2 linked regions of the Bombyx mori genome follow. The protein of the gene in region 2 interacts with the protein of the main gene of each other region in a pairwise test. Links are inferred from orthologs where the notes say so. Each region holds a gene or a part of one and is shown on either strand. Other genes may lie near its edges. The genes, in order: frizzled-7-B and protocadherin-like wing polarity protein stan.

Evidence for each region.
Region 1: the proteins of protocadherin-like wing polarity protein stan (region 2) and frizzled-7-B interact in binary tests that used the Drosophila melanogaster proteins (3 or more experiments, as listed by UniProt). The link is inferred for Bombyx mori from reciprocal best matches to the Drosophila melanogaster genes stan and fz.

What each region holds. Positions count from the first base shown.
Region 1 is NC_085110.1:8,283,642-8,287,964, forward strand, and holds the start of frizzled-7-B, read right to left. Parts: upstream 2,917-4,323; 5' UTR 2,603-2,916; coding exon 1,423-2,602; intron 851-1,422; coding exon 333-850; 3' UTR 1-332. UniProt on the Drosophila melanogaster protein: Receptor for Wnt proteins.
Region 2 is NC_085128.1:4,497,778-4,501,609, forward strand, and holds part of protocadherin-like wing polarity protein stan, read right to left. Parts: intron 3,487-3,832; coding exon 3,373-3,486; intron 2,214-3,372; coding exon 2,042-2,213; intron 1,765-2,041; coding exon 1,625-1,764; intron 1,120-1,624; coding exon 933-1,119; intron 513-932; coding exon 420-512; intron 254-419; coding exon 144-253; intron 1-143. UniProt on the Drosophila melanogaster protein: Involved in the fz signaling pathway that controls wing tissue polarity. Also mediates homophilic cell adhesion. May play a role in initiating prehair morphogenesis. May play a critical role in tissue polarity and in formation of normal dendrite fields.

The sequences.
Region 1 (4,323 bases), on a different chromosome or scaffold from region 2:
GAATTTTAACTGGAATAGGTAAAGCAATTAACTAGAAATTGTTATATCACAGTTAAATGAATTTGCATCACAATAGCAATGAACAGTCCATGTAATCTATAAAGTAAAGCAGCTACAGTAGAAGGTGACTAAGAAATATTGTTTTATATGACTTTCCAAAATTTATGGCAGTCTTGTTTGATGTATATTACTGTTTAATAAAATAGAGGATTGTCATACATTCATGTAGTAACTAAAAATAATTATACAAAAACAAATAAATCTAAATATAATATATAATGAAAACATTCATTAACTTTTGTTTGCAGTTGCAGTTTCTGCATTTAAAATAATTACACATAGGCTTCTACTCTGCGACCTTTAACTTTGTCAAAAAATTGAGACCATGATATCAAAGTTTTACCAGACCATATCCAAAAGCTAGATGTTATACCAACAATCATTGTCATTAGATATTTAATCATAAACATTTCAAACTTTGGTCCTTCTATCTCTTCATGAATTATCGGACAAGGAATTGAGTATTGTCGTATCGAACACATGTCTCGTTGCCATGCAATCATCCATTTGTCAAAATTAACTTGTTCATAGAACAAACATGCTATGACTATGAGGGCAGGCACGGTGTATAGTACACCAAACACACCAATGCGAATCATCAGTTTCTCTAATTTATCAGTTTTAGTCCCATCATGTTTCATGACAGTTCTGATCCGAAACAGTGAGACAAAGCCAGCTAGAAGAAAGATTGTTCCAAACACTAAATAGACACATAAAGGTGCCAACACAAATCCTCTTAAAGCTTCTGCATCCCATAATCCAACGTAACATACACCTGACAGTACATCACCTGAAATTAATAGTTGGAATGATTTTACTTTCTACTACTAAAATAATAATAAATTGTGCAATTACTGGTGGTAGGGTGTTGAGGATGGTAGAGCCTATACAAAATTGGGTGCCACCACCGTGCTTACTTCTGCCTTAAAAAGGTAATGTTTTTTGGTTTGAAGGGTGAGACTGTCATTCTAGTATAAAACGGGACTTAGACCCCATAGCTCAATGTAGGTGATGGCTTTTACATTGTTGACGTCAATGGGATTGAGTAACCACATTAGGTCAGTAACCATATGAGCTCACCCACCCATCTAAGCAATAAAATGAAAAATACTGCACCACTTGTTCTACAAGTAGTGTAAGCTTGGACAGATTAATAACATTGTCTTGCCTAGTTCAATCAAGAATCAGTCACATATTCCAGTTTGCCATTAATTTGATATAAATGAAACTGACCTCATGTCTAAACTGTCATGAAATCAATTCAGTAATTATTTAAAACCAGTTGTACATACAATTCTTTATCCAAGTTGTTATGCTAATAAAAAAATTAGAACACATGGAAATGAGAAAAAAATCACTAACCATCTACTTTCCCCATTGCTAGAATAGATATTGTCTTCACAGCTGGTACTGCCCAAGCAGCAAGATGAAAATATTGGGAATTTGCTTCTATTGCTTCATGTCCCCATTTTAGGCCAGCAGCCAAAAACCATGTCAGGGTTAATATGACCCACCATATACTCGAAGCCATACTAAAGAAATATACTATCATAAACAGTATTGTGCATGGCTCATGTTTTGTACCTTGTGTGATAACTGATATGTTGGGTAATCTTGTTCCACTGACAGCAGAAACAAAAGGCCCTTGGCAGCTTATATTATCACCTGCACTCCAACCCATTATGTAGGCAATAGCTACCATTAGATAACAAACTGACAAAAATATTATGGGTCTTTCTGGATACCTGAATCTATCTGTATCTATTAAAAATGTTAGCACAGTAAAAAGGCAACTGAGTGCACACAGGACTGCCCAGATTCCAATCCAGAGCCTTGAAAAATTCTTTTCATCTTTACTGAAGAACATTCCATTGCATGGGGCTCCACAGTCATGTTCAACTCTATTTCCAACTTTAAAAGAGTATTCAAGATCTAAATGTCTTGGTACTTTAAACTGCACTGGGCACACAAACTCATGCAATCTAGTCGGATCTCTCTCCATGTTAGATTTGAAGTCAACCTTACGAAACTTGGTATCAGTGCGTTTTCGAGATTCATGGGCAGTATTATTGTCACCAACACATATGTTATTATCAGATACTTCAGGAAATTCAGAACATTCAAGCTCAGGGGGCCAAGGAAAATCAAATTTTCGTATGACGACATCACAGCTTTGTTTTGCAGCTTCACATAAATGACGACAAGGCGGTATCGCAGAATCTAGTATCGTGCAAACGGGTGCATAAACTGAACACAAGAAGAATCTTAGATCAGGAGAGCAATTCAGTTTAATGAGAGTTGTAAACAGAAGCATGTTTGCGGCTGCATCTTCTTGTCGTGCTTGATTTAAAATATTCGGAAAAATGGTTTGATTATAACGCAATTTCTGACAAAACTGAATGGTAATGGGTTCACAACGTCCATGTTGAGGTAGACTATCGCCTTGATAAACAATCTCTCGAGAACCTTTTGTTAACGCAAAAAGACATAACAGACTGAATATAATAACATAATGTTTCCAAAATTTTGCCATATTGATCATGTAGAGTTTACCACATAAATGTTATTCATCACAAAACATTTCGTACAGTGTCATTTTATTAAAATTGTGGTATTTTGACCCACGTTACATGTAAATATTTATCTCTTTAAAATGTCTCTTATTTGATATTAGCATATTATGACAGACTTTAATTAGTACATAATATCTATAGCTGATTTAAGTATTGGTTTCTGAAAACTTAAGTTTTTTTGTTAGAAATTACGAGAAATTCACAAAATAGTTACGGTACGAAGAGAATATGTACCAAGTAACCAAAGCAAAAATACATTTTTTTAAGGGATTTTATGACCTGGTAACTAAGACCTTTAGGTCATGTCGTCTTTTAATTTATATTCTTATTTAAAAAAAAAAAGATAACATGGAGTGAAATGAAATTAAATAAAGATGATTAACTTGAGATATTAATCAACTGGAATGAAATTAAATGAATGAGTTTAGTAAAAACTTTTTTTATTAATTGTTATTTCAATGAAGTTGTGTTTATATTTTGTCATGATCTTGTACAGCCGGTAATATATTTGAATAATAAATAAAACACGTAAACATGTTTAAAATTGTGGTTCGGAGTGTCAATAGATCTGCAATAGATGTAAATATACACATTACATAAGTACACATACACATAAATATACACATTTAAAACATAAAATATTTAATCCTAATCTCAGTTAAAAATTACAATCCCCGAAATATAACTGTACAGGCAGTGCGATTCTACTTTTCAAAGTTGAGCCATTAATTGCCCTGATAGATAGCATTATTATAAATTAATTAAGCATTACTGACCATTTGTTAATGAAAAGTCAAAATATGAATTTGCAGATTAACAAAGCAGTCACTTCGATTAAATATAAAGTGTATAATAGGGATGTAAACCAGTTCGAAGAAAACCGGAGAAAAACCGGTTTTTATACATACCGATAAACACCGGTTTTTATTTAAGAATACCGGTTTTTAATTACGCGTTACATTCACAGTTCACATCAGTGCTACCAGATCAAATATACAAGCTACCTAAAAAAACCGTGTTTCAGACTCAAATTACCGTGCATTACATTTAAAAACTACAGTGCAATAACCACAATATGGTTGGTAGACTTTTAGCGTACGAAATGGGGACCGTGACCCAAATATCCACATATCTGCACCCAACACTCAGAAATGGCTTTCGTCAACCAGAGCACATGTTGTCTGCAAAAGAGATGGTGCGTCGTGAACTGGGGAATCTTCCTAAATAATTTTCAACTCTAGCTTTATCATCGGAACAGCCAGAAGAAACCACAAACAATTTTAAAAAGCCTGGTATTTTGGATTTTTTGCATTCGCGAAAACGGGATATTCCGAACGCCACGGCGGCCGCAGTGTATATAATACGATTCTATATTGAGACTGAAGCCGCCACAGGAAACCATACCGAAATTGCTGGCACTTTTTGGATGAGCAATACTCATTTAAGGCCTTTAAACAAAATAGCATTTAAATACCTATCAGTCCCATCAACTTCTGTGCCTTCCGAACGTATGTTTTCGACGTCGGGGTACGTGCTAACATCCAAAAGAAGCAGGCTTCTGGATGACACAGTGGACCAAATATGCTTCTTGCAACAAATTTCATAAAAAAAATATTTAAAAATTAAAAAGCTTTTTATCTTTATTGGATAATATAAATATGATCATTAAAAGCCTATATAAAATATGCTC
Region 2 (3,832 bases):
AACGCACGATAGGTGGCGCAAAAAATGGTGTATTACATGCATTTACACGTAGACAAATTTTTTCACTAGTCATTAATACAATAGCTTCAATTGGCGAAAGTTTCTTGGGGAGTACTACTGAATTGTGCGAATGGAATACCGACCTGTTTCCTTAGCTGATAAAAAGTGGCCGTTGTACAGTTGAACATGTCCGGGTCCTGCCAGGGGACGTCTTTCGTTTCGTCGCACGTTCTGGTCGCGCGGCCGCTCGAACCTGGACAGTACGTGCACGCGTTACGTCACCAGTGCATTGCGAGGATCGCACGCATTACGTCATCAGTGCGTCGCGAGGATCGCACGCGTTACGTCATCAGTGCGTCGCGAGGATCGCACGCGTTACGTCACGGGGGACCGGCGACGGTCCCGGACGCGGCTCTCACCCGGGGGACAGTCGGTGATGGTCTCGACGCCGAACTTGGTGCGCGGCCACCAGACACCGCCCGCGAAAGAGCGCGGACATCCGTCGTACACCACTGTAACACAAGTGTTTCTAATATAATATCGCGGTGTGAAAGGCTATTTATTGGATAATTATATTTTTTGTTGCTTAGATGGGTGGACGAGCTCACAGCCCACCTGGTGTTAAGTGGTTAATGGAGCTCATAGACATCTACAACGTAAATGCGCCACCCCTCTTGAGATATAAGTTCTAAGATCTCAGTATAGTTACAACGGCTGCCCCAACCTTCAAACCGAAACGCATTACTGCTTCACGACAGAAATAGGCAGGGCGGTGGTACCTACCCTGGTAGACTCACAAATCAATAAAAATTGGAGTAAATCAATATATATTAAGTGTAATATAAGAAATGTTTGACAGTACTCGTATAGTCATTCATTCATTCATTCATTCATTCAGTCATTCACTCCTAGGGTATGGTCGATACAGTCACCTTCACATCCAGAGTTGGGCGTGACTTCGGCGTAGGCGTTGGCGCAGGCGTCGCAGGCGCGGCCGATGACGCCGGGCCGGCAGTGGCACTGGCCGGTCGCCGCCTCGCACGAGCTGTTCTCCGACCCCGCCGCGTAGCACTGGCACGGGAGACACTCCGCCGTGCCTTCAGGCTTGTAGTGGTTTTCCTGGAGATGACAATCATTATTGGTTAATTGGTGATAAAAACGCGAGAGATTGTTGTCTGATAATTAAAATATTATGATAATATTTTCGAACGGGAGATTAAGTCATCATCAAACATCACCCTGTATATTGAGGCCGTGAGATTGTATGTTAATAATAAAATAAAAACTTAAGAGTAAAAAGCCCTCGAGCCATCGATTATATTCCTAGCCCGAGCTTATTGTGCGCATTAAATTTACCATATTTCATCGATGAATGACAGAATGAATAGGAAAGTCAGTCAAAAATAGTCCAATCATTGTTCAAAAATGTTAAGTTTTATCTGTTTGTAATAAAAAAAATATGTAAAAATGTAAAATAAAAAATATATTTACACATTCGTAAATAGTTATACCAAGTAAAGATAGTAGAATGTTTGTAAACGAAACGAGAAAACCTTTTTTTTTCTACCATAATGGTTTTGAAAATCAATATATTATAATAAAAAACCAAGTACGTCTTGCGTACTTTGCAATGGCATTTTCCGTTCTCCTTGTTGCAGTGTGGATGATAGCCACGTGTGACGTCACAAGCGCACGGCCCACACGCGCTTCCACCCCACCATCCTCCTGGACATTCTTCTTTCCCTGATTCTATGCAGCCTGACGCTGAAATAATTTTACTTAGTAAATATGTAGTTCGAATTAAAAAGAAAACATATCAATTAATATTCATATTGCAATTTATATAGTACACACTAAATTTCATTTGCAACACGAACATTGATATATCATAGTTTTCAAAAACGCTTTACATGGTGTACTAAGAGAAAAAGTTAACAACTTCTTAATGATTAGGTTATCTTTTACATTTGCATTTTACATTGCCTGCTCTTTATTGTTAATCTTTAAATACGAATCGAAATGATCACAAAGAAGGACTCACTGGTAAGAGTATATCCAGGCTCGCAAGCGCAGGAGTAGCCCTTGGGCGTTTGGTCGGGCACGCACCGCGCGGCGCCGCACGGGCCGAGCTCGCATGCCGACACGCACTGCGGGCCCACGCGACCCGCCTCGCACGTACACGTGCTGCTGTCCCATGACGTCACACACTTACTCTGGACACAAAACGCATTCAGATTATAATCTGAGTTTTTTGGCGGGAACGCGAGGAGTGAAGTTGTGTGATTTGTTTTATTTTGTCTACTTAGTGTTTTTTCAGGTTTGAATGTGTAATAACGGTGGTTTATTAACTGTTTAATATCTGTGAAAGTGCACAAATGTGGGAAAATGAAACAAAGCCGCTGGACGTCACTTCTCGGGATCCTCCAAAAAGTCCACTGAAAAAATCTCAGTAAATGCCCACCATTTTTTTGAGATTATATTTCATCCCATAACATCTCATCTCATTACATTTAATTTCATCCCAGTTGATTAATGTCTCAAATTAATCATCTTCATTTCATTTCACTTCATACTATCATTTTTCATAAAAATATGAATATAAATTCAAATAAGACATGACTTAAAGGTCTTAGTTACTAGGTTATAAAATCCCAAAAATAATTATAAACTGTACACTTCAGTGCATGCGAAAATTTGTAAGGCTCACTTGGTGTTAAGTTATACGAGCCAATACACATCAGAACGTGAATGCCGTTACGAAGTTTCTGACATGATGATGGTTTCCGTAGTTGCTAACTGTATTACATAACATATACCACGTCTTTTAAGCACACGATTTATTCGGGGTGGAAATGAGCAGCTTGGTTTTGTTGATTCGTGAAAACTCAGAGAAGGCCCTACTTGGGGTAATCACGTCATAAATAATAAATAAATATTTACTAACAAGCTCGCCACGTTAACTGGTCCCGTGCTAAGTTCGTAAAGAACTTGTGTTACAGGTAACAAATAACGGAAATAAATGTAAGATTTTTATTATACACATACATTTTTTTTTTTATTTATTGCCTTTGTAGGCAGACAAGCATACGGCCCACCTGATGGTGAGTGGTTACCGTCGCCCATGGACTTCAGCAATGCCAGGGGCAGAGCTAAGCGGCTGCCTACCGTATGGATGTATATAATATACATCCATAACCCTGGAAAATACATTTTATATTTATCATACAAATATCTTCCTTTGGCGGGATTCGAACCCGCGACCCCCTTGTGTGGTGACCATGTCACTTACCACTACACCAGACGGCCGTAGGCGTTACGATGAACCTAGCACAATAGTGTATTTGACAATGTAAATTTAAATTTTAAACTCACATAAGGAGGACATATTGACAGCATGCAATCGGCTCTAGATTGGCAGCCGTCCCTCACGTTTTCTCTGACCGTTGGCCGATTGAGAAGCGACTGAGCAGTTCCAATACGAACATCCTAAAATAAAATTAGCATATTTATAATGAAAAAAAAACACACTATGTATATGGTGCAATAAGAAAAAGCGTCCCAGCTCGAAGAGTCTTTACTTGTATTCCAATTTGTGATTGTCGTCAAAATAACATTTTTTTTTTGTGTCATTTTAGTCTACGAGTGGTTGTCGTGGCTCATGGACATCAGCAATTATACGGGCACAACTAAGTCGCTGCCTACCGTTGAGTACACATCGCAAGCTTCGTTTGAAGAAAGACTGGTCATAGCGCGAAAAACCGTGGAGGAGAGTTCATTACAGAGCCGGACTTACAAAGTTTAAATCGATACCGCATATAGTATCAGGCTAAAT